Neodiprion lecontei: one gene and its partners. The protein of the gene in region 2 purifies or fractionates together with the protein of the main gene of each other region. This does not show direct contact. Links are inferred from orthologs where the notes say so. Each region holds a gene or a part of one and is shown on either strand. Other genes may lie near its edges.

Region 1 (5,928 bases), on a different chromosome or scaffold from region 2:
TGATGAGTGTTTAAAAAAAGCGAATCATTTTTTATTGATTGGATGAAGTAACGTATGTATATAGCATGTATATCAATAAATACTTAAATTTGATAAAACAGATACAATTGAATTTTTAATTAACATAATTTACAGCAGTGACTTCTCTGTACATAAATAATTATCGATCAATAGAGAATAGTCATGTCTCGCAAGCTTATACATGTAACTTGTTTTTTACTTATAGGGACAAGTTAACAAATATAAACGTACACTAATCCCGTCATTACAAGACAAAATGGCAATGTGTCTGTACATAAGTAGACGTTATATCGCAATCATTAATCTGCTTTCGAAAACTTATACAAATGTATAGAATTCCTTAAACCAATCGGCACACATAGAAAAAATTACGCAATTATTCATAACGTTAAAACAAAAATATTGTTCCATTTTGGCCATGGAATAATAATATCGAATGAAATTTAACGTGCGTATTTAAAGAAGGTTATTATGTATGCGGCTTTGAATTCGATGGATAAATTGAGTTAATATGATGAATACCACAAGGTCAAACCGATCAAGAAAGTTTATTATTATCTGTTTTTTTTCTCTCTTTGTTTTGTTTTTCCATAATTTCTACAGTAATTTTTCATCTAATGTGTACCACCCACAACTCGGTGTAGTTTTCGTCTGTAGTATGTAACTTCCATATGACACATGTATACCAGAGGCTACGATAGGTACGTATAACACACATGACATTTTCCGTTTAGTTACAGACAAGACCAAGACGAGTCATCTCCTTCAGCAGTTCATTACCCATTTGGGCGGGGCTTCTCGTTACAATCACTCCGGCCTGGAAATAATACGATAAATGACCCCTTTGTTTTTCTCTCTACTGTTATCTGGTGTAAAAAAAAAAAGTAAGAAGTGATATCTGCCTCTCAAGGAAATTTTTAGTAAAAGTATTACTGATATGTATTTCTAAGATATGTAATATCAGTGCAGTAAGTTCTGATTCTGAATTTAACCTTTAGACCGCCAGTGATTTTAATGTATATTCAAATAACCCACATTTATATTATTTGACTATAGTTTCGTCAGTATACTGCGGCCTAAGGATTAATTCTGTACTTGGGAATCATGTGTAATGAATAATCTCAGCAAAACCAATTGCAATGAAAATGTACTAAAACAATCTACATTACCTTTTCAAGAGCGTTAATTTTGTCTTGAGCGCCACCTTTACCGCCTGAGATAATGGCACCAGCATGACCCATTCGACGACCAGGAGGAGCCGTCAATCCGGCAATAAAAGATACAACCGGCTTAGCCTTTCCACCCTACAGTGGAACAAATTGAATCTATGAAATTACAAAAATTATTCTCTACATTTAGCTGCGATTAGGGTGTAAGATTCTTTTTTTCCGTTCTAAAAGTGAAAAGTATTGATTGCAAAGTGCAACGTTAGTGAACATTGTTTTGTCTAAAGTCTAATCTTTAATAAATAAATCAATTAAGTATGGAAAGTCAGCATCAACATATCTTAAAACTTTTTGAATTCAGCAAGGTAGGATCGTAACTTATAGAAAAAACCATGCGGGATATATGGGTATCACTTCATGATTAGGTCTGGAATAGGATAAGGATGGATTAGGCATAATGGCGGGTCATGGATACCAATAATTCAGAACAGCAACCGACAGTGTTATGTTCCATGAGGTATTCAGCAGCCAACTCTTCAGCGCTACCCCCGATTTCTCCGATCATCACTATGCCTTCGCATTCTGGATCTTGTAAGAATACTTCTAAACAGTCAATGAAGTCTGTACCATTGAAGGGATCTCCGCCGATACCAACGCACAGAGTTTGCCCTAGCCCAGCCTTAATAATGCGAAGAAAATTGATTCATTAAAACCTGATTTATGGCCAAAGTATCTCAGAATTATTCATGTGTCACCATGTACGTTTTTTCTCAAGCAGAATTACTAAAATACTTTTGATTCATGTGACTCACCAGAGTTGTCTGATTTACAGCTTCGTAAGTCAGAGTCCCGGATCTCGAGACAATACCAATCTTTCCTTTTTGATGGATATGTCCAGGCATGATCCCAATTTTACACTGATATTGGAAAAGAAATAGGTAATTAAGCTCTTTACGGTTTTTACGTATGAAGATACTAGAGCAATACATTTGTCACTGAAGATAATGAAAGAAACATAAAAATTTACCTGTTCTGGAGCAATGATTCCTGGACAGTTGGGTCCTATAAGGCGAGACTTGTTCTGTTCAAGAAGACGCCTCTTCACTTTTACCATATCGTGCTGAGGCACACCTTCAGTGATACAGACAATTAGAGGCATTTCTGCATCCAAGGCTTCCATAACTGCTGCTGCTGCGCCGGGTGGTGGAACATAAATCACCGAAGCCGTTGCGCCTGTAGCTTCTTTGGCCTATAAAATACATAAACTAAATAAATATATAATAACATGCTTCAAGATTAAATGTCAAATTTCAAAGGGAATTTTTTGATTTTCAATCTCACTCTGGGTATGCTAGGATATATAGAATGAGAATATGTTCAAAATTAAGACAGGAACTTTGGTGTTGAAAGGTTTCATTCTTGAGATTGTCGCTTGAGTTTATCCATATTTTTATCGATGTGGGAATAAAAAAAAAAAAAAAAAAATAGAACGAACCTCTTTGACAGTTTTAAATACAGGCTTGCCCAAGTGCTCTGTTCCAGGTTTTTTGGGATTGACACCACCCACAATTTTGGTCCCATAATCAAGTGCTTGTTGACAATGAAATGTTCCTTGTTTGCCTGTAAATCCCTGGCATATGACTTTGGTATTTGAGTTTATTTTCAGGTTTTTCCTCGTGTCCGTGTAGTTGAATCTTACTTGGGCACGGAGCAAGCTGCTTCGACCTCCCACTAAAGCAAAAATCATTCAAAATTAGTTATATTTCTACTATGCAATGCTGTATCAATATTGGACCATTCCTTGAAATATCTAATCCAAATTCTCTGTAACGCTAATAAGCTCTAATTCTAAGAGCCATATGTCACAAATAGCACCGTCAATGCAAACAGAAGATAATGAAATTTACTCAACTACCTTAAAGGTTATGCTTCTCACGATTCAAGTATACTTGTTCCAAAGATTATAGGCCGGAATAGAATAGATAGACATAATAAAGTTTAAAAATAGGTAAAATAAAATGGAAATTTTTTTTTCATGTAGTTTAATTACAATGATTAACACATTCTTAGATGCAATTACAATGGTATCAATAAAATCAATGTCATATAAATACTCATTCCTGGGAATCAGAAATATTTGAATTTGTTATTTCTATGAACAGTATCTTATACCACAAGAATAAATGACTATTGGTTCACTCTATGAAACAACATTACAAATTGTTGCTTAAAATGATGAATTTTTTGCGTTCTACAGAAAATTTATCATTATTTAAGTTGACATGTTAAGCATACAACGGACGCAGTAGGACGAAACAAGTATTAATAGGGTAATTGGATGTCGACCTCTTGAGGGAAGAAATACCGAAAGGATTAATGTATATCATGAAATTATCCACAGTCCGGTCACGAAAGCATGAATCTGACTTATCTGCCAATGGCACTTGACTTATTAATTAGTGATTCGATCTTAGGAGATTGTCAAGCAATTGAAAGGATTATTGAGCAATTTGATAGAAGCAAAAATGTGGGTTAGATTACATAATGTACACGAGACAATTGTCTCTTTTGATTTGAGCCATCTGGGTCAAGAGCGAACAGCATTCGTAGGGTTAAAATAAAACGGGGTCTATGCAGGTGCGACTGCATAACGATATACGGGGCTTAATTTATTCCGGAATACATTTTGCTTGCGGTACGACTTGTGATATTTTCATTGTATCAATGTTTAAATTACCGACCTGTGATTTTTGATAGATTCCTAACAGCCGCAGCCATTTTAATAAATTTGTCGAGAAAAATTAATTTCAGAACGAACTACGGACTTGACACCATGGACGGGGACAGACAGCCTACTCCTTAATATCTACGATTCCTACTACCATGATATATCCTTGGTGAACAAACCGAATGAAGCGACTCAACACACGGTTAAAAGCGTTCAACGCGAAGCAGTGCTGCTTGCTACGATGTAGAGGCGCTGCCTTTATCCGCCAACTATAAGCTATATATAGGTAAATTGGCTAACTATAATACTAGTACGTACTAGTTAGTCGTTTTAACCAACACAATTTTAGCAGTTTTTGGATTTTTAATGGTGAACCACATGCGCGTATCGAATATGAAAATTTTATACTTTCATAGCACGATATGAGCGTACTTTGCTCATATTCACAGAGATACAACCGCAACAGATCTTCTAATCCTACCAGACGTCGATAATTAATATTGAACAATTTTAATGCATACGATAAGACGTTGAATGGTGACGGAAGGATTTAAAGACGGCTTATATCCCTCGGCGCAAATTTTTATGGCTAGCACTTCACGGCTGAGAGTCACAACAAGCCGTGTTAGCGATTCGGTAGCGTCTATCAGTGGGAGCCGTTCACGCAATTCTATAGGCACACAAACCATATGCAAACCCGCAGTCTACCTCCTGGTCGGTCCCCTGACACACGGTGCTAAAAGGGGTTCGCAAAATGTTCCTCGATTCTGCTGTTAATTTCCACCAATAGTGGCGCTAGTAGTTACCTGACGAGCTTGCGCGCGGTCAGCGAGGGCAGCGAGCGTGTCAGAAGTCTACTACTAGCGCCACGTAGAGGAACTAAAAAACGGGGACAAGACGCGTACAATTTTTTTAGTATACGAGCAGTGGTGAGTGTCAGAGGGCTGCTCCTGGTCAATCTCTCTGTAAGCCTATGGGTGATGCACGTTCAGTTACACATGCCTATAATATATTTTGGTGGTGAAGGCTCGCCGCGTGCCGCACGTGTTAACCTCACATTTTGGTAACACGGTTTCCTGAGTGAACTGGTTTCATAGCAAAAATGGTAAAGAAAAGTGTAAAAAGGAAGCGTAAGGAGAGTGAGAAGGCTAAAAATGTTGAAACCGAAGAAGTGGTGAAGTTCCCGCCATCGAAACGATCGTCCGATGAACCTGCGCCGAAAAAGGTTATTTTATATTCTAACCTCGTCAGTTACTGTATTACAGGTGTACAGACAAACTGCAATCACGCAGCTCACATTTCTCTCAAGACAGAAATTCTCCATTCCCAGTCCACCTTATTGCTAATTTACACCTTTTTCACGGAAAGAATAGTCGCCGCGTCTATTCGCACTACAAAGTGAACCTACACAGGACACTCCAAATATGCCAAATGTTCGGATCTCTTGAATTTTTTGGAATGAATTAGAGTGTCCGAACAAGTTTTCAAGCCATACCATTTTTTACGTGAGTATGATTTGTTTAAAAACATTCACTGAGGGTGACAGACACCGACAACATACTTCGCATCTTTCGTGTGTGTGTTTCAGTTTTGGACAGTGCTAGAGTATAATCATTTATTAAAACTCTAGCAACGGTATAACAGAAACTGAACTTAATCTAACCTTTGCCACACAACTTTAGCGTGCCTGAAATAATACTTTGGATATTTCAATTTTTTGCAAAACAATCGGGACAAATAAACATTTGGCTTATGGAATAATTGGAGTGCCTCGTGAAGATTAACTCTAGAGTGAATAGATACTTTGAAGAATATTTATTTTAAATAGTCATTTTTGTTTCGATAGACGAGATGGATAAACAAACAACGGGTGCTAGTATTCGCATCACGGGGAATTAACCACAGAGATCGTCACCTAATGGAAGATATTAAACGACTTATGCCACACCATCGCCCAGAGAGTAAAATGGAGCGATCCAAAAATTTGCAAGTTATTAATGAGATGTGTGAAAT
Region 2 (5,534 bases):
AATTCCTTATCATGTTTCTTTCAAAAGAAAGTAATCTGTCGAAAGTGTTGGATGGTTTTTTATTCCACTAGACATGCAGAGCATTTACTTATCATCTTCTTATGGTGGGGGCGACGGATGACGTGAGTGTCGGTCGATCCCCAGGGCATTACTTAGCTTCGAAAGTCGGTTGGAAATTACAAGCCCTATATGGGTATGAATGAAATGACTGCAAGCTAGTAGCGAGTCCGAGATCAGTCGCGCACACGTATACAGTACATGTTTCAACCTTCTCCTAACTTGGCATTCGAATATAATTATTGAACCCTGCTCGCTAGACGATGTTTATAAACGATTTCTACTCTAAGTTTGGTTTACCTCTCCTGAATCGGTTCCAGCTTATTGGTTGGACTACAAAGTCACCCAAGTCCAAAGGTTTCAAATTAAGGCCTTGACGGAAATACTGAGCTCCAAACTTATTGGACATCTGCAGCTGTGTTGAGTAGTTAGCTAAAGCTTGGAAATTGATCGGAACTTGAAATGCATTCATTAAAGAATTCAATCATTTTCAAGCAAACTTTATTTCAATAAAAATGCATTTACAGTATAAATCATTGCTTCTATATCAGCATCCAATGGAAAATTCTGAATAGATTAACCACTACTATCAGTATTCACACTCCTCTACTAATTATAAAACTTTTCCATTCTCTTCTTCGATTATTACACCACTTACAACTTCGTAAACAACGACATATATCATTCATGGTATAATTTTATTACAGGTATGTACAGCTACGGCATTGTACACCACGTGAAATGTTACTATAATTGAGCAAAGGTACAAGTTACACAGTCTTGAACAAGGAAATTTATCGATAAACGTCGATGGTGGACGGCTATGCCTATTGTCTTATCGCCGCAACGGCTTTTTTAGCAGCCTCATCCAGATCGGAAGCTGAAAGAATCGGTAACCCAGATTCCGCAAGTATTTTTCTGGCTTCCATAACATTCGTACCTAGTTGCATAATAAAATAGTTCGTTTGCATCAAAAATCGCTGTGCCTTTCTAAAATAGTCCGAAAATGAGGTGATCAACAATATTACCTTCCAATCTGACCACAAGTGGGATTTTCAAGCCAAGATTGCGAGCCGCTCCCACAATTCCATTGGCTATCGTTGCGCAGTTTACTATACCGCCGAAAACGTTGACAAGAATAGCTTCCACCTTGGCATCTGAATTTAATATCGAAAGTATTACAACATTCTCGAAGTGTTTCCATTAGTCAAATGATAATCTCGCAGTCGAGAATCAACGTAGAATTTATTTACCTTCGGTGAGAATTCGGAAAGCTTGATATACTTGATCTTCCTTAACGCTACCTCCAACGTCCAAGAAATTAGCTGGCGTTCCCCCGTTTAACTTAATTATATCCATAGTTGCCATGGCTAGCCCAGCTCCGTTAACTATACGTCAATCACATATTGCGATATTATAAATGCATCCGAATACATTGTGAGCAAGAAACATTGTTCTGGTAACGATCAAAATTTTTGTAGGAATATGCGGGGAAGAACTAGATTACCAAGGCATCCAATATTTCCGTCCATTCCGATGTAATTCAAGCTGAACTTCGACGCCTCTACTTCTCTCGGATCATCTTCGCCAGCGTCGTCCAAAGAGAATATGTCTTGCTGCCTGTACTGAGCGTTGTCGTCAAACGATATTTTAGCATCAACAGCGATGATTTGCTTATCCTTGGTTTCTACCAAAGGATTTATCTCGATCTGCAGCGCATCTATGTCAACAAACAACTTCCACAAATTCCTCAATTCAGCAACAGTTTTGTCCAGCAACAACTTATCTCCAAAACCTAAGAAATTTGCTACTTCTTTGGCAATGCTCTCTGTAATTCCCTCGTAAATGTCAAGTGGTATGGTCTTTATTAAATCCGGCGTTTTTTCAGCAACCGCTTCAATGTCCATTCCACCTGCTGGAGAGGCTATCAATACCGGACCGTTATGCTGCCTATCCATTAAAATACAAACGTATGTCTCCTTCACGATGTCAACCGATTCGGCAACCATCACTTTATTCACCACAATCCCATCCTTGGGCGTCTGTTTTGTTATTAAACGATGCCCCAACATGTTCTTTACAATTTCCAGAAGCTTCTCGTGTCTACAAAGTTTTCATACGAATTTTTACGCCTATAATTTAAAGCCGGGTTTCTTGCTTCAAATTCATCCTCGAAATAAATTTCAATTTGGAAGCAAAGAAACTAACCCTTAGCAATATTCAATTCTCAAACATAATCTATGAAGGTTAAAGAACCTAAATATAAGATACTATTTTGTATTACAAATTGTACACGAGCAAAGAGTCACATTAAATTACAACAAAAATCAATTGGTATTTAAATGGATATCTAATTTCTCTGTAGATGAAATTATGAATATTGTGAGGTCTTGATAAAATGGTTTATACGTTTATAAATCATAAATCGAGATTTTGAAATATCAAGAAACATAAATTCCAACAATGTAACCAAGAATGCTATTTTACTATTCTTGCCGAATGTAATCTGTGGGAAGGTTTTTCCGCAAGAATATCGATTATTTTCTATTCTAGCAGAATTGCTCTTACTCTTTAGTGATGTGTACACCACCCTTGAATCCATTATCAAAGTGACCTTTACCCCTCCCTCCTGCCAGAATTTGAGCCTTTACCACGTATTCAGCCGCATCTGTAACGTAAAAAAATGTACTGAACGTTTGCACGTATGATCCGATCAGTTGCAAATATGAGACATTCTGAAGCTCGCAAGTTATACTAACATGACTTAATATTTAAATACATATACTTACTGAATTTGTTTAAGACTTCTGGGGCATATTTCAAGTCGTCGACTATAGCGAAATTTTGTACAGACACACCGCTGTCTCTTAGTAGTAATTTACTCTGATATTCAAGAAGGTTCAAATTCCTCACAGGGATAAGAAACACCCGTGATACATTTTTGAACGAATTAACCAAGAGCGAGGCTCTTTGAACAAGGAATCGCGACATGTTTAACGCTTCAGCACTTTGGCTTCTCTCAACGACCGATACTCTGCAGACAGTACTCAGATACTTTTAACACGGTTTAAGGTTAGGTTGAGAAACTGGTCGGTACAATCGGATCCAAAATTACTACTGTCTTTAGCTTGCCAGTCGTGCATACGGAAGAAAAATAAGTAAAATAATATTATGATTAAAGTACGTTAATCACTCAATACCCAATGGGCGCTCTGTGCTCTGATCGATAAGATTAATTAGGTTATGAGACTGGATAGGGCTGTACAATGAAGTGACCAAACGCTGCGTCGATCAAATAAAATATTTATTTCATCTGTATGAACATGACAATTGGGTGTTATTAGTATTAATAATTGCACACGTGTTAAAACTTTCGAAATATTAACAGTTTGTATGTCTCATCCGAACTCAATAAGCATTCAGGTTATTAACTACAGATGGGACTGGACACTATATACAGTATCGCAGTGATTCACTGAAGATAATTATCGTCCATTATTACATAAACTACAATGTACACAAAATATCAATAAAGAGCAATGTACACGTTATGGTTGTGAAAAAAGATGGAATCAAACACAAACTGCATAATCGGCTGTATGCTGACGGAATGGGAAAATATGGACCATCCGATAAGTTGTCTGTGGGAACCGTAGACATCATGTCGTGAACTCGTAGTGTATAAAGTGGTATAAAGCGAGGGTTACACATTTAGCATCTGTTTCATCACATGTCATATGCATCTCCGGTACTGAACACGCATGCGCAATTACTTGAATCCCTCTTCCATTTTGCCGACTAAGAGAGCAAGAGCGGCAACAGTAATGGACATGTTTACATCGCATCGATTCAATACGCATCAAATCAAGAATCAATTAATCAAAAAAAAGTAATCTATTTCTTCAGCATCTCCGATTATTATTTTTAAATCAATCAGTACTTTGAATGTAGTTTAAGCGCAGGTCTAAAACGGTCATTAGTTGGATATTTTGTGAAGTTCGATTCAAATTAGTGAAAGGAAATTGGGTTTACATTGGATATTAATATTTCAAATTGACAAATATTATACACAATGTAATATTGCGATAGTTTTTGTGGTTCTTTCGACTTATCTGGTATTGAACCCGAACTTTGTAATAGTTTTCACGTAAGATTTCCTTCAGTGATTATAACGTTGCAGAATCAAAGCCTAGTAAAATCAAAACTGCAGCTGATTCTTCACCTATACAATTTGTAGAATAATGAATGTACAGACACAAAGTGCTTGCAACAATCTCTTATCTCTTTTGCGCTGCCGAGTTCGTGGGTAGCTCTGCCTCTGTCCTAGGGAGTTTTGAGCGCTGGCTCAAATTTCAGAACGCTCCCTTAAATAGATTCTGAAACATTCGATAACCCTAAAAATTTTACAACCCATAGTGCACAACCAAGCAAGGACGCTCGGCCGTGCACCCAGCTGATCGTAAGAGCACCTTTGATTTACAACATTATTGTAATTCCTAGTTCTCGTCTAGCGACCTCAACATTGCATGAAAACAGTCTCACAATGGCTCATTTTACTCTTCATCCTTTCCGAAATTGCGCAAAGTATCTCAGCTATGCACTTTTTGATCCCTCAAATGCGGAAAATGTGGAAAAAATAACATGTGTCAAAAACCGAACATTTTTTTTACGATTTTCGGAATTCGGAAAATACACCGGTGAAATTTGAACCCTTTCCGGTCATTTGTTTATTCAACAAAGGAAGAAAAAAGGTGAGTTCGCTCGATCGGTGAAGGTAGGAGTACTATATGACTTTAAAAGTTCCATGCCCCAGTTGCAGTCACAAAAAATATAGTCAAATAGTCAGGATTTCTCGAAGAAAGTTCTTACACTTATTTTCAAAAGTGCCAGAATTTATTCCAGGCACCAATGGTTCGAAAGTTACGGTACACAAATTAAATAATTCGAACTTATTACGTTGTTTTCATACTCATGATTGCAATATGCTGGAGTTTCACCGACGTCAAATTGAAGCGCCACGCCGACAGCGCGAAAAGTCGCTCATGAAAATGGGTACCATCACAAAGGCAAAATGTCGCGCGTCGAAAAGCACGTCGTTAGGTCAATGGTTCTGTATTATATTTTTAATCGAAGAATTGGAAAATCTAGGACTGTTAATTGGAAGTGCGAAAAAACAGAGAAAATGAAGAAGCCAGATGAAGTACCTGGAGGCATATACGGACTGCGCGTAATCGATTCCTCTCGAAAAATTACGTCGATAAAGTGCAACAAAAAATTGATCCAACCATTTTTCAAAATCAGCGAAATGTCGACTGACAAAATCCAAAGGGGTTAGCCTTGCTTTTTTGCGATTTTTAGATATCGGAAACTTTTCGTCTCAAACTCGTTTTGCAGGACTTTTGCTTTAATAGTTAGACCCTTAGGAATGCGAAAAAGACATCAAGAAGAGTGTGGGATTATAAATAGCTGTTCAAGAT
Region 3 (4,564 bases), on a different chromosome or scaffold from region 2:
AGCACCACCAGCACCAACCACAACAGCATCATAAGTATGGTCCACTATTGGATACTGCTTGGAAATGGCATCAGATACTTTGGCCGCTTTACCATCAGGTGTGTAATGAAATTTGCGGCTCGAAAGTGAAGGCAGGCCGATCTTTCTCTGAAATATTGCATTCTTAATGATTATGGAGGGTGTAACATTTATGTAATTACTAATTTTTTATTCAACTTATTACTTGATCGTTCAAGAATTTGGAGAACTTTGGTATAACATGACATCAGAATTAATAGAAACAGAATAAGGTGTCACAGTGAATATTTATATAGATTAGTCTTCCTGGAAAATTCAACTACATCATGTTCACTGACACAATGAAAACTATGATGATTAATAATAATAATTGCTACCTACAGCAGACATACCCAATAGGATATGTCTCCAGGAGTCGCTAAACTTATATGGGGTAAGGAAAGTGATGGATTAGTGACCGTCGTTATGTGTCTACAGTTGTCTTAAGATGTTCAATAGAAACACCCGCATTCACACAAGAAACAATGAAAACTACAGGAAACCTTGCCCAAGTATAGCTGATATATGATGAATTGATAGTGAAATATTTAACGACCACACCGATTCAGCATAAAAGTAGATTCGTCAATGAAAAAGTTACTAAAAGTGTAAAATTTGAGGTATTCTAAATGAAACGTATTAAATTTTTTTGCTGGATCAGTAAATACTTTTCTCCATGTTTACAACTTTGATTTGAGAAAAACAGAGAGAGAGAGAGATAAAAAAATTAAAATTTTCAGCACATCTTTATTCATAGTGATGATACATAACATACTTTTCACAATGTAACAAAAAATACAGTTCTTAGTATTTCAGATTTAGCGTCAAGTTTAAATATTTAAATGTGTTGAAAAGATTTAATCTTATACTTCGTTCTCCAAAACTTTGCCGATCGAATTCTGTTTTAATATACATTCTATAATTTTCTCAATTTCTTCATAGCTATAATGATTCATGCAGTTCAATTACAATTTTCTAGTGCAATTAATGAAACAATACTAAAATCATTTCTTGCTAATTGATAATATATTTGCACGAGTTATCGTCGATTTCGTGATGCAATTACTAGATAGCCATCCCAAAAATAGCTTCTACTTTGAATTGTAAGCATTGCTGGAATTTCATAAAAGCAGTTATAAGCTGAAAAGAACAAATTAAAAGATTATTCATGGTTCGTCCGAAACTAAGCGATCACAATTCAAGAAGTCTAGCTGTGATTTATATTTAGCTTATAAGTACCTTCAACCTTATCTAAACTAAGGATGCGATATCAGTTTGTTAAATTAAGTTAGGTTAGGTGACAAGTGTCGTTACGTTTTGCCAGCAGAATACAACCAGAGACGAGTAGAATAAAACTGCTCATAGTATTCATTAGACCAAAATATTGATAGTCCTCGCCTCTGTCGATCTTTGCGATTTGCTTGCAACAACCCAGAATTAATTATCTAATATCCCATATAATATACAATACTTGTATATAATTTGTACTTATTTATAATCTACTTCCTACGTCTCGGCTTTTTTCTATCTGGAATGTTCTAACAATCAAATGAAATTAAAGAGGGGGATAGCGTGACAAACGAATTGGGTGGTTACCGGAAATCACCTATCAGAATTGAAGAATTAAACTTATATAATAATGAGCAAGAGCACACACGCAAGGTACGTCAGATTCATGTATACATATGACAGTAGAAATAAAAGTAAAAATGAGATAAGAACATGCACTCTTCTATCAATTTTACGATGCTCGTGAAATTGATTTGTTTTCAATTCCAACCACTTTTCCAGCCGACCAGTGCTGCCACCTGTAGCGGTTAAGAAAACGGAAAGCTACATCTAAAGCTTTGTTCACCGGCCGTTACATACGGTGTAAATTGGCCATTATTTTTGATCATGCGGTAGTCATACAAGTACAAAGAAAAATATTCGCACGCTTCATTGAATAAGACGTTAAAACTAATTTAGCAAAGCTTGTGAGAATATCTTAACTAAAAGCTGAGCAGTTTGCCGCTGGCGATTTCGCTTCCGTCATAGTTCTATTTAGGTCGATATTCCCTGCACCTTGTAAATTTGCGAATAGGTTAAACCGTCCAACACACAAATATGCGAATTGGTTACGTCCTGTTTCGACGTAATCAGAAAATCATTGCGAGCAGTGTAAGCCGTATCGTGCCTATACGTTATTACGGTAAAAGCAATTTAAAACGGTGGAACTTTCCGTGAAAACTGTTGTTGACTTGATACAGAATTAGTTGTTTACGCTAAGCAATTAATCCCGGAGATAGAATAAACCCGACTACATTGCTAATGAGCAAATGAAGCCTGATCGCGTGTAGGAATCTGGGCTATATGTGCTCTGGCAGCTGTCAAGCGTCGTGAGTGTTATCGCATTTTGGGGGATATACCAGGACAAAAAAACAAGACAGATGATCATGTGCCGCGAAGAAAATAAGTTGATAATTAACTCTAATTGATATGATGTTCGTATGAAAAAAACCGACAAGCAAGGAAACTGGCAAAAATGGGGTGTATTTTTAGACCGTTTCGCTAGTCGAAAAGCAATCTGTACAGATAACTTGAAATTGCACAATAGTTGCGACACTTGGAGAAAATACCCAATTTCACTCACTTTGGGAAAAACAAATGACGACAGGGTCGACACTTACGTAATGGAAAGCAGATCTCATCGTACACTAAAGGTGCGATGAATTAGCGGTTCGACGATACGCTTCGACGAAAATTATATAACTTAAAGAAATACTTACTAGAGTCGCCGAGGGCAGATTCCTCGCGATAATTCCCGGTACTTTCAACATTATGCTCATCTTGGACCTGCCAGGGGGTGTTAATCCAAATTTCGATCCCCTTTTTTACTACCAAAATATTAACGCACGAGCAGTACACTCGCGCACCTCTCGTACGGCGTCGTGAACACTGAACCTGAGTCGGCGACGTCGGTCAGGCCAGTGGGGCCAACGTTACAGAGGGGAAAAATACGCATTGCAATATATTATATATCGGGGTAGTTCACTGTTTGTTGCAATTTTCCTCTCTTTTTCCAAACGCTGATTTACCGCAGCTAGATATCGATGCTTTGTAATTCGTCGAAGCATTATTGCAGCAAAGATCTAACGTTACGTTCTTCGTTCCAAGCCCCATACCGCAAACTTATAACCGACGTTCGCGCCAGCGCCGTACGCGCCAGCCAGTTACAGGAAAATACAATCACCGAGAACGACCTGCTGTGATAAATGTTGAGGAAACATGGTATTCGACTAAAACCTAACAGGGAATCGAATTCTCGTCTTCTTTTCGGTTCGTACCACGGCGTTTCATTTTCGGACGGCACACGCCAACACGGGTTAAAAATAGCGCCGACTCGGTATTCAATGTGTCGAATTTGAAGCGAACATAATATAGTTTGGGTTGTGTATTTTACTTACGCTTTTGTCTTACTAACTTCTCGCATTACCGTAAAATCCAGGGAGTTAAGTTTAAAGACAGTATAAACCAACGAATTTTATTTGAATATTCATAAGCTCGATCGATTTAAACAATCGTATGAATAAAATAAATACGTGTAAACATGATGTCTGTGAATAATATTTTTCCATCCGGTACAAGTTGCAGTTGTTTACTCACGCTTATACCACTTTCCTGATACGACACTCGAGATATACGTGCATGTTTTTATTTATATAAAAAGTAGGTATAGGTGAAATTCTACGAAACGTAAGTAAGCGACAAGAATAAACTATCGAATTGTGAAAGGAATTCATTTTGTTACACCACGAATTATGACCGTAAAGTCAACACGGGGAAAAAGCATAGTAGGTACAATACGTACCAAGGACAAACTAAAACGCGGTATAGGTACAACTGGAAATTATTTACTCGTATATAGTTTATCAACCTGCATTCACACGTATACTCCTTAGAATCTTGGAACGAGTTGATTATCAGTTGCACTTTTTTGATTTATCATCAGTTAATCTGAACCGGTTTATGCAACTATGTATATGCATATCTAGACCTTATGCCGGGTTAACGCCAACCTTGTTAGTAACTACGTACTGCTGGTGGCACATGTTCCGCTTCACTCTCGTCCAGAGTAGTGTCAATTACCGGCCGGTAGGTAATGCATATCTGAAAAGTAAATATACGTAAATATCTGGCTTCATCTTGTTAATTACTCGGACGATGCAGTGCACTCACAGAACCGTCGTCCTGGGCCCAAGTCAGAGTATGTTTGCGCCAATGTTTCTCAATAGGAAGTTTTTTCTGCCCCTCCAAGGGCTTGGAGTAATCGTACTCGTCGATTCGTTCCTGCAATAAATCAATGAATTTTACTTGTAAGGCGTTGTAAACATTCACTGTTGGAAATACAGCTTTTGCTTCGTTCATCGTGCGCGGATTGAAAATTCTAGAATCACCTGTGAAATTCAAGTTATTTCATCGGCCTACAAAAATTAATTGACTTAATAATGACGATCGATTTGTATTG
Region 4 (4,089 bases), on a different chromosome or scaffold from region 2:
TGGTGGCGAGGGGTTACACTGGTAAGAAACTCGAAGACAACATTGATTGCGAGATATTTCAGACGATATTGGAGGAAGCCAAGGCCTCGTATAGGGATGAAATAGTTCACGAATTGCAGAGCAACACACCTGAAGAAATGGAGCAAAATGTAAACAGGATATGCCAGTGGCTTGAGCAGTGGAAAATTGACAATAAATAAATCGAAATTTTTGTTTAACATAAAAATTGTTTTCCCCCAAGGTACTAGTTGTTGAGACTATCGCAATGATGTAACTAGCAAATAGTATCCTATAATTTTATTTACAATCATCAGAGATCCTTGGCTCTGATCACAATTTTTCTACTTCAGCAAGATGCTATATACACATCTAAACTTACACGGTTACTAACGATATATCACCTTTCATGCAATGAAGTTGACCCTATTAAACCCAAAGCATTGAGTCAATGTGTTACAGCTTTGATTCTTGCTGAAGTTTCTTGCAAGTCTAGACTCAAATTAAATAAAGTCTAATTGAAAGATGAGAATCATTACTACATATTGCATCCATCCAAGACTATTCTATAATTTTATTTACAATCTTCAGAATCCTCTGCCCCTGAAGAAGACTTTTTCAACTTTTGTACACGTTATCTATACATTCGAATTTAAATCTTCAGTAAATAGCTTCGAGGATGTCGAAGCGAAAGTCTCAGAAGCTATAAATTAAGTGATGTGCAGTCTGATTCTTGTAAGACATGCTTACAAATTGAATATTGGTGGAGCTTTGTAGTGACAATCTGAGGGAAGTCTATAAAGGAACGTCTAGGAATGATAAAATATTGTTAGGAAAGTGTAGCTTATGTGTTACGTAATTATGAGATGACTTTGAACAGGGGAAACCGTCTGTGAAATGTAAAATAAGGTAAACAAGATTACCGATCAACCGAGAAATACTAATTACGAATGCAGAACAGAAGCTTTCTGCTATTTATGTTCCTCTAGCTTCGAGATGCTTTATAGTCTAGCTCCAATAGTCATTCTACTCAACAATGCCTAGATTTTCTTTCAGATTTTTCAATCTTGCTTCCATACTGGCATAGTACTTCATTTTGACAAGAAGTTTTTTAGCCAGCTCAATGTTTTTCTCTCGAAAAGCGATTGACACTTGTCTGTAAAAATTAGAAAAGCAGTAATAATGAAGTATGAAAAGTGTTGAATAAGATCGGAAGGAAATCCTTAACCATACGTTTATAATCCTTGTCAAACAAAGTGCAAAATTACCTGGTGTAATCGGCTAATATTTCCCTATTTTCCATGATCAATTTCATCACTTTCTCAGCATTGTCAGTGGCCGCTTCGATCTCCTCGTTTTTTTCCATCACCGTCATCAAAAATTCAGGATCTAAAGTAGTCGTCCCCTCAGGTATTTCCAACTTCTCCAATGCCAACATATACAGACCCCTGCTCAGAGGGTGTGAGAGCGTACTATAGGCCTTGTTGACAAGCGACGATAGGTTCTCCGATAATTCCTTCTCTTTCTGCGAGGATTGAAAAGATGGGTCAGTTTTCTCAGTAAAGATGAAATAAAACAGAAAATTCGGTGAAAGCACTCGATCACCTCTGTGCTATTGCTAAACCTGTCAGGATGCAAATAGTGTTGTAATTCTCTGTACTTTTTATGGATTTCGTCACTCTTCAGGTCGTAATCCCGTTTGACGCCGATTATTTGAAAATAATTCAGATTCTCGGGCGGCTCCTGTAGCGCCCTGCACTTGGAGCAAAATAAATCTGACTTGTACTGGAAGTCGCATTTCCAACATTTAGAGGGTAAGTCGCTCGAATAATTCCTGCAGCAACGAGACGCATCGCTAATACTAGCAATTGCGAAATTTGTACGCCCCGATTTGTCGTTCGTACATAAATCCGGGCGATTACATACGCCGACATAACCTCTTGTCGCAAGGCAACGGCAAATGGATCGCAGCCTCATGCCGTTCGTTAAAGAACGGCTAGTCATAGCTCGGAATTAGAATTTTCTTGTTATTCTGAATTTCTTCTGATTGACAATACCATCGAAACTACAATGCGGCAGTACGCGAGGAAGGAAAGAAGACATTACGCTGAACAGTGGCGGCCATATTGAATTCTAAACACGAGACGATGCGATTGGTCAGTTTCACTTGTAAAATTGAATCAGATCCTTTTGATTTGTTTGTCGAACTTGAATCGCCGGTAGCTGATTGACGATTAAGTTGAAGTTAGTAACATTATCGTAATGAATAACATTTTGGAAAATCGTTATTTCGCAGTTGCAGGAATGTCTAAAATTCAGTAAATCACAACAGGGCAAAATGTATTGATATTTTGAAAGCTTACCCATATTAACTATCTCAAAGTCACTGTATAAATTTGCAAAATAGTAATTTTTCCCCCCAACATTTTGCTACGTAAACATTACGAACTTCAGCCTCATGATTGACGAGAGTTCGCTTTTATTTTTACGTGTGAGCCAGTGAACCGATGTTGTTTGAAAGATATTTAAATAATGAAAACTCCGAGAAAAAAGAAAATCTTCGGGATAGATTTCGGTTCGATGAATCGTATAACAGCCAGAGAGAAGCCTTAACAGCTGACAAACGATTGTTCAAACCTAATCTACGATTTCAGAAACGAGGACCTAGACTTGTCTGGCATTCCGCCGAAAAATGCTGAAAGCGCTGACAACGAATAAACGTAATTTGCCGATGAATGAGTACGAAGAAGGGAGGGAGAAACGATGAACGGGGAATAAGAAAAGAAAACTCCGAGCACCTCCTGCGCTTCCATTGCGGGCGATCCGGCGGCGTGTTTTCAAATTCGTCCAATCAGCTCGCGACAACGCGCAGGTCGTACCTCGCTCTGAGCGGCCTCCACGCGAGCCACGTCGTCCTCTCCCTTCAGTTCCGTCTATCAGTCGTTGATTCCAGTCAGTCGTTAGTCTTCCGATTGCTTCCGATTCCCGAGCATTGTACTTCAGAAGGACAATTTTCGCCAGCGGAGGGTCGACAAGCTCGCGAAATGCTGTTCAGAAGTTTAATCCTGCTGTCTCTGGCTCTCGGCGCTTTCGCCGCCGAAGAGGACGTCCTCGAATTGACGGACGACGATTTCTCCCACGAGTTGGAACGCCATGAGAATTCACTCGTCATGTTCTACGCGCCTTGGTAAGCATTCGAAGCTTGTTATTTACCTCACTTTTTATTCCGTGGCTTTGGATTCGGAAAATCTCGAACAGTCGCTACCCGCCCCATAGCTTACCGAAGCACCGGCACCCGGTCGAAAAGACCGCTTATCTCCTTTCGAACGTGACGTTAAACGTCAGACGGACTCGCCGCTGTTTTCGGGACATATGCGACGATGATTATTCACCAATCTTAGTAGCGTTGACAACAATATTTTATACATACGCACATATACTCTCAAGTCGAGATGTATTCTCTCAGAATCACGTAACCTCCTTATCTCGCATGAAATCGTTGCTTCTTTGTGTGCAGAATGCCGTTATCTAATATTGAACTTCGCCACAACGAATCTCTATGTCTCGCTTTATTCTAAGTTTATTATGTATTATGGTTCATATTTCTCGCATTCGTACAGGTGCGGACATTGCAAACGCCTCAAGCCCGAATATGCCAAAGCGGCGGAACTTCTCAAAGGTAATGATCCGCCGATCACTTTGGCCAAGGTTGACTGCACAGAGGCGGGTAAAACCACCTGCAACAAATACTCGGTCAGCGGATATCCGACGCTGAAGGTATTTTCCAAAAATGAAATGGTCGGCGATTACAACGGCCCAAGAGAAGCTCCTGGTATCGCAAAGCACATGAAGGTATGACTAAATAAAATAACCACAATAAGGTATGCAAATAATATATTTATTTGATTCCTGAAATTTTTGAGCCTCCTTTTACACTGTTTTTGTGTCGTCTTGTAGGCTCAAGTTGGACCTGCCTCCAAGGAATTGACTGGCGAAGACTGCCAGAAGGGCTTCTTGGATTCTGACGAGGTTGGAGTGATCGGTTACTTTGAGAAGGACGATTCACCCTTGTCAGCCGCCTTCCATACTGTT

What was found.
Region 1: the proteins of succinate--CoA ligase [GDP-forming] subunit beta, mitochondrial (region 2) and succinate--CoA ligase [ADP/GDP-forming] subunit alpha, mitochondrial fractionate together in Homo sapiens (co-fractionation; 6 studies listed by BioGRID and IntAct, counting the BioPlex papers as one, with this or other methods). This does not show direct contact. The link is inferred for Neodiprion lecontei from reciprocal best matches to the Homo sapiens genes SUCLG2 and SUCLG1.
Region 3: the proteins of succinate--CoA ligase [GDP-forming] subunit beta, mitochondrial (region 2) and succinate dehydrogenase [ubiquinone] flavoprotein subunit, mitochondrial fractionate together in Homo sapiens (co-fractionation; 3 studies listed by BioGRID, with this or other methods). This does not show direct contact. The link is inferred for Neodiprion lecontei from reciprocal best matches to the Homo sapiens genes SUCLG2 and SDHA.
Region 4: the proteins of succinate--CoA ligase [GDP-forming] subunit beta, mitochondrial (region 2) and iron-sulfur cluster co-chaperone protein HscB purify together in Homo sapiens (affinity purification with mass spectrometry; 3 studies listed by BioGRID and IntAct, with this or other methods). This does not show direct contact. The link is inferred for Neodiprion lecontei from reciprocal best matches to the Homo sapiens genes SUCLG2 and HSCB.

Annotation. Positions count from the first base shown.
Region 1 is NC_060263.1:32,444,879-32,450,806, forward strand, and holds succinate--CoA ligase [ADP/GDP-forming] subunit alpha, mitochondrial, read right to left. Parts: upstream 4,078-5,928; 5' UTR 3,966-4,077; coding exon 3,929-3,965; intron 2,919-3,928; coding exon 2,683-2,918; intron 2,437-2,682; coding exon 2,215-2,436; intron 2,105-2,214; coding exon 2,000-2,104; intron 1,867-1,999; coding exon 1,663-1,866; intron 1,347-1,662; coding exon of another isoform or gene 1,326-1,346; coding exon 1,191-1,325; intron 839-1,190; coding exon 752-838; 3' UTR 551-751; downstream 1-550. Other genes in the region: ribosome biogenesis protein BRX1 homolog, read left to right, coding at 5,018-5,140, 5,762-5,928. UniProt on the Homo sapiens protein: Succinyl-CoA synthetase functions in the citric acid cycle (TCA), coupling the hydrolysis of succinyl-CoA to the synthesis of either ATP or GTP and thus represents the only step of substrate-level phosphorylation in the TCA.
Region 2 is NC_060264.1:36,036,651-36,042,184, reverse strand, and holds succinate--CoA ligase [GDP-forming] subunit beta, mitochondrial, read right to left. Parts: upstream 3,780-5,534; 5' UTR 3,049-3,779; coding exon 2,847-3,048; intron 2,726-2,846; coding exon 2,626-2,725; intron 2,161-2,625; coding exon 1,565-2,160; intron 1,446-1,564; coding exon 1,311-1,445; intron 1,215-1,310; coding exon 1,086-1,214; intron 998-1,085; coding exon 885-997; 3' UTR 542-884; downstream 1-541. UniProt on the Homo sapiens protein: GTP-specific succinyl-CoA synthetase functions in the citric acid cycle (TCA), coupling the hydrolysis of succinyl-CoA to the synthesis of GTP and thus represents the only step of substrate-level phosphorylation in the TCA.
Region 3 is NC_060260.1:33,240,071-33,244,634, reverse strand, and holds the start of succinate dehydrogenase [ubiquinone] flavoprotein subunit, mitochondrial, read right to left. Parts: upstream 3,025-4,564; 5' UTR 2,886-3,024; coding exon 2,826-2,885; intron 2,811-2,825; exon of another isoform or gene 1,297-2,810; intron 1,198-1,296; exon of another isoform or gene 788-1,197; intron 148-787; coding exon 1-147. Other genes in the region: succinate dehydrogenase [ubiquinone] flavoprotein subunit, mitochondrial, read right to left, coding at 4,120-4,206, 4,276-4,386. UniProt on the Homo sapiens protein: Flavoprotein (FP) subunit of succinate dehydrogenase (SDH) that is involved in complex II of the mitochondrial electron transport chain and is responsible for transferring electrons from succinate to ubiquinone (coenzyme Q).
Region 4 is NC_060266.1:20,481,817-20,485,905, forward strand, and holds iron-sulfur cluster co-chaperone protein HscB, read right to left. Parts: upstream 2,136-4,089; 5' UTR 2,002-2,135; coding exon 1,603-2,001; intron 1,523-1,602; coding exon 1,266-1,522; intron 1,154-1,265; coding exon 1,024-1,153; 3' UTR 552-1,023; downstream 1-551. Other genes in the region: adenylate kinase isoenzyme 6, read left to right, coding at 1-200; protein disulfide-isomerase A3, read left to right, coding at 2,733-3,184, 3,618-3,849, 3,955-4,089.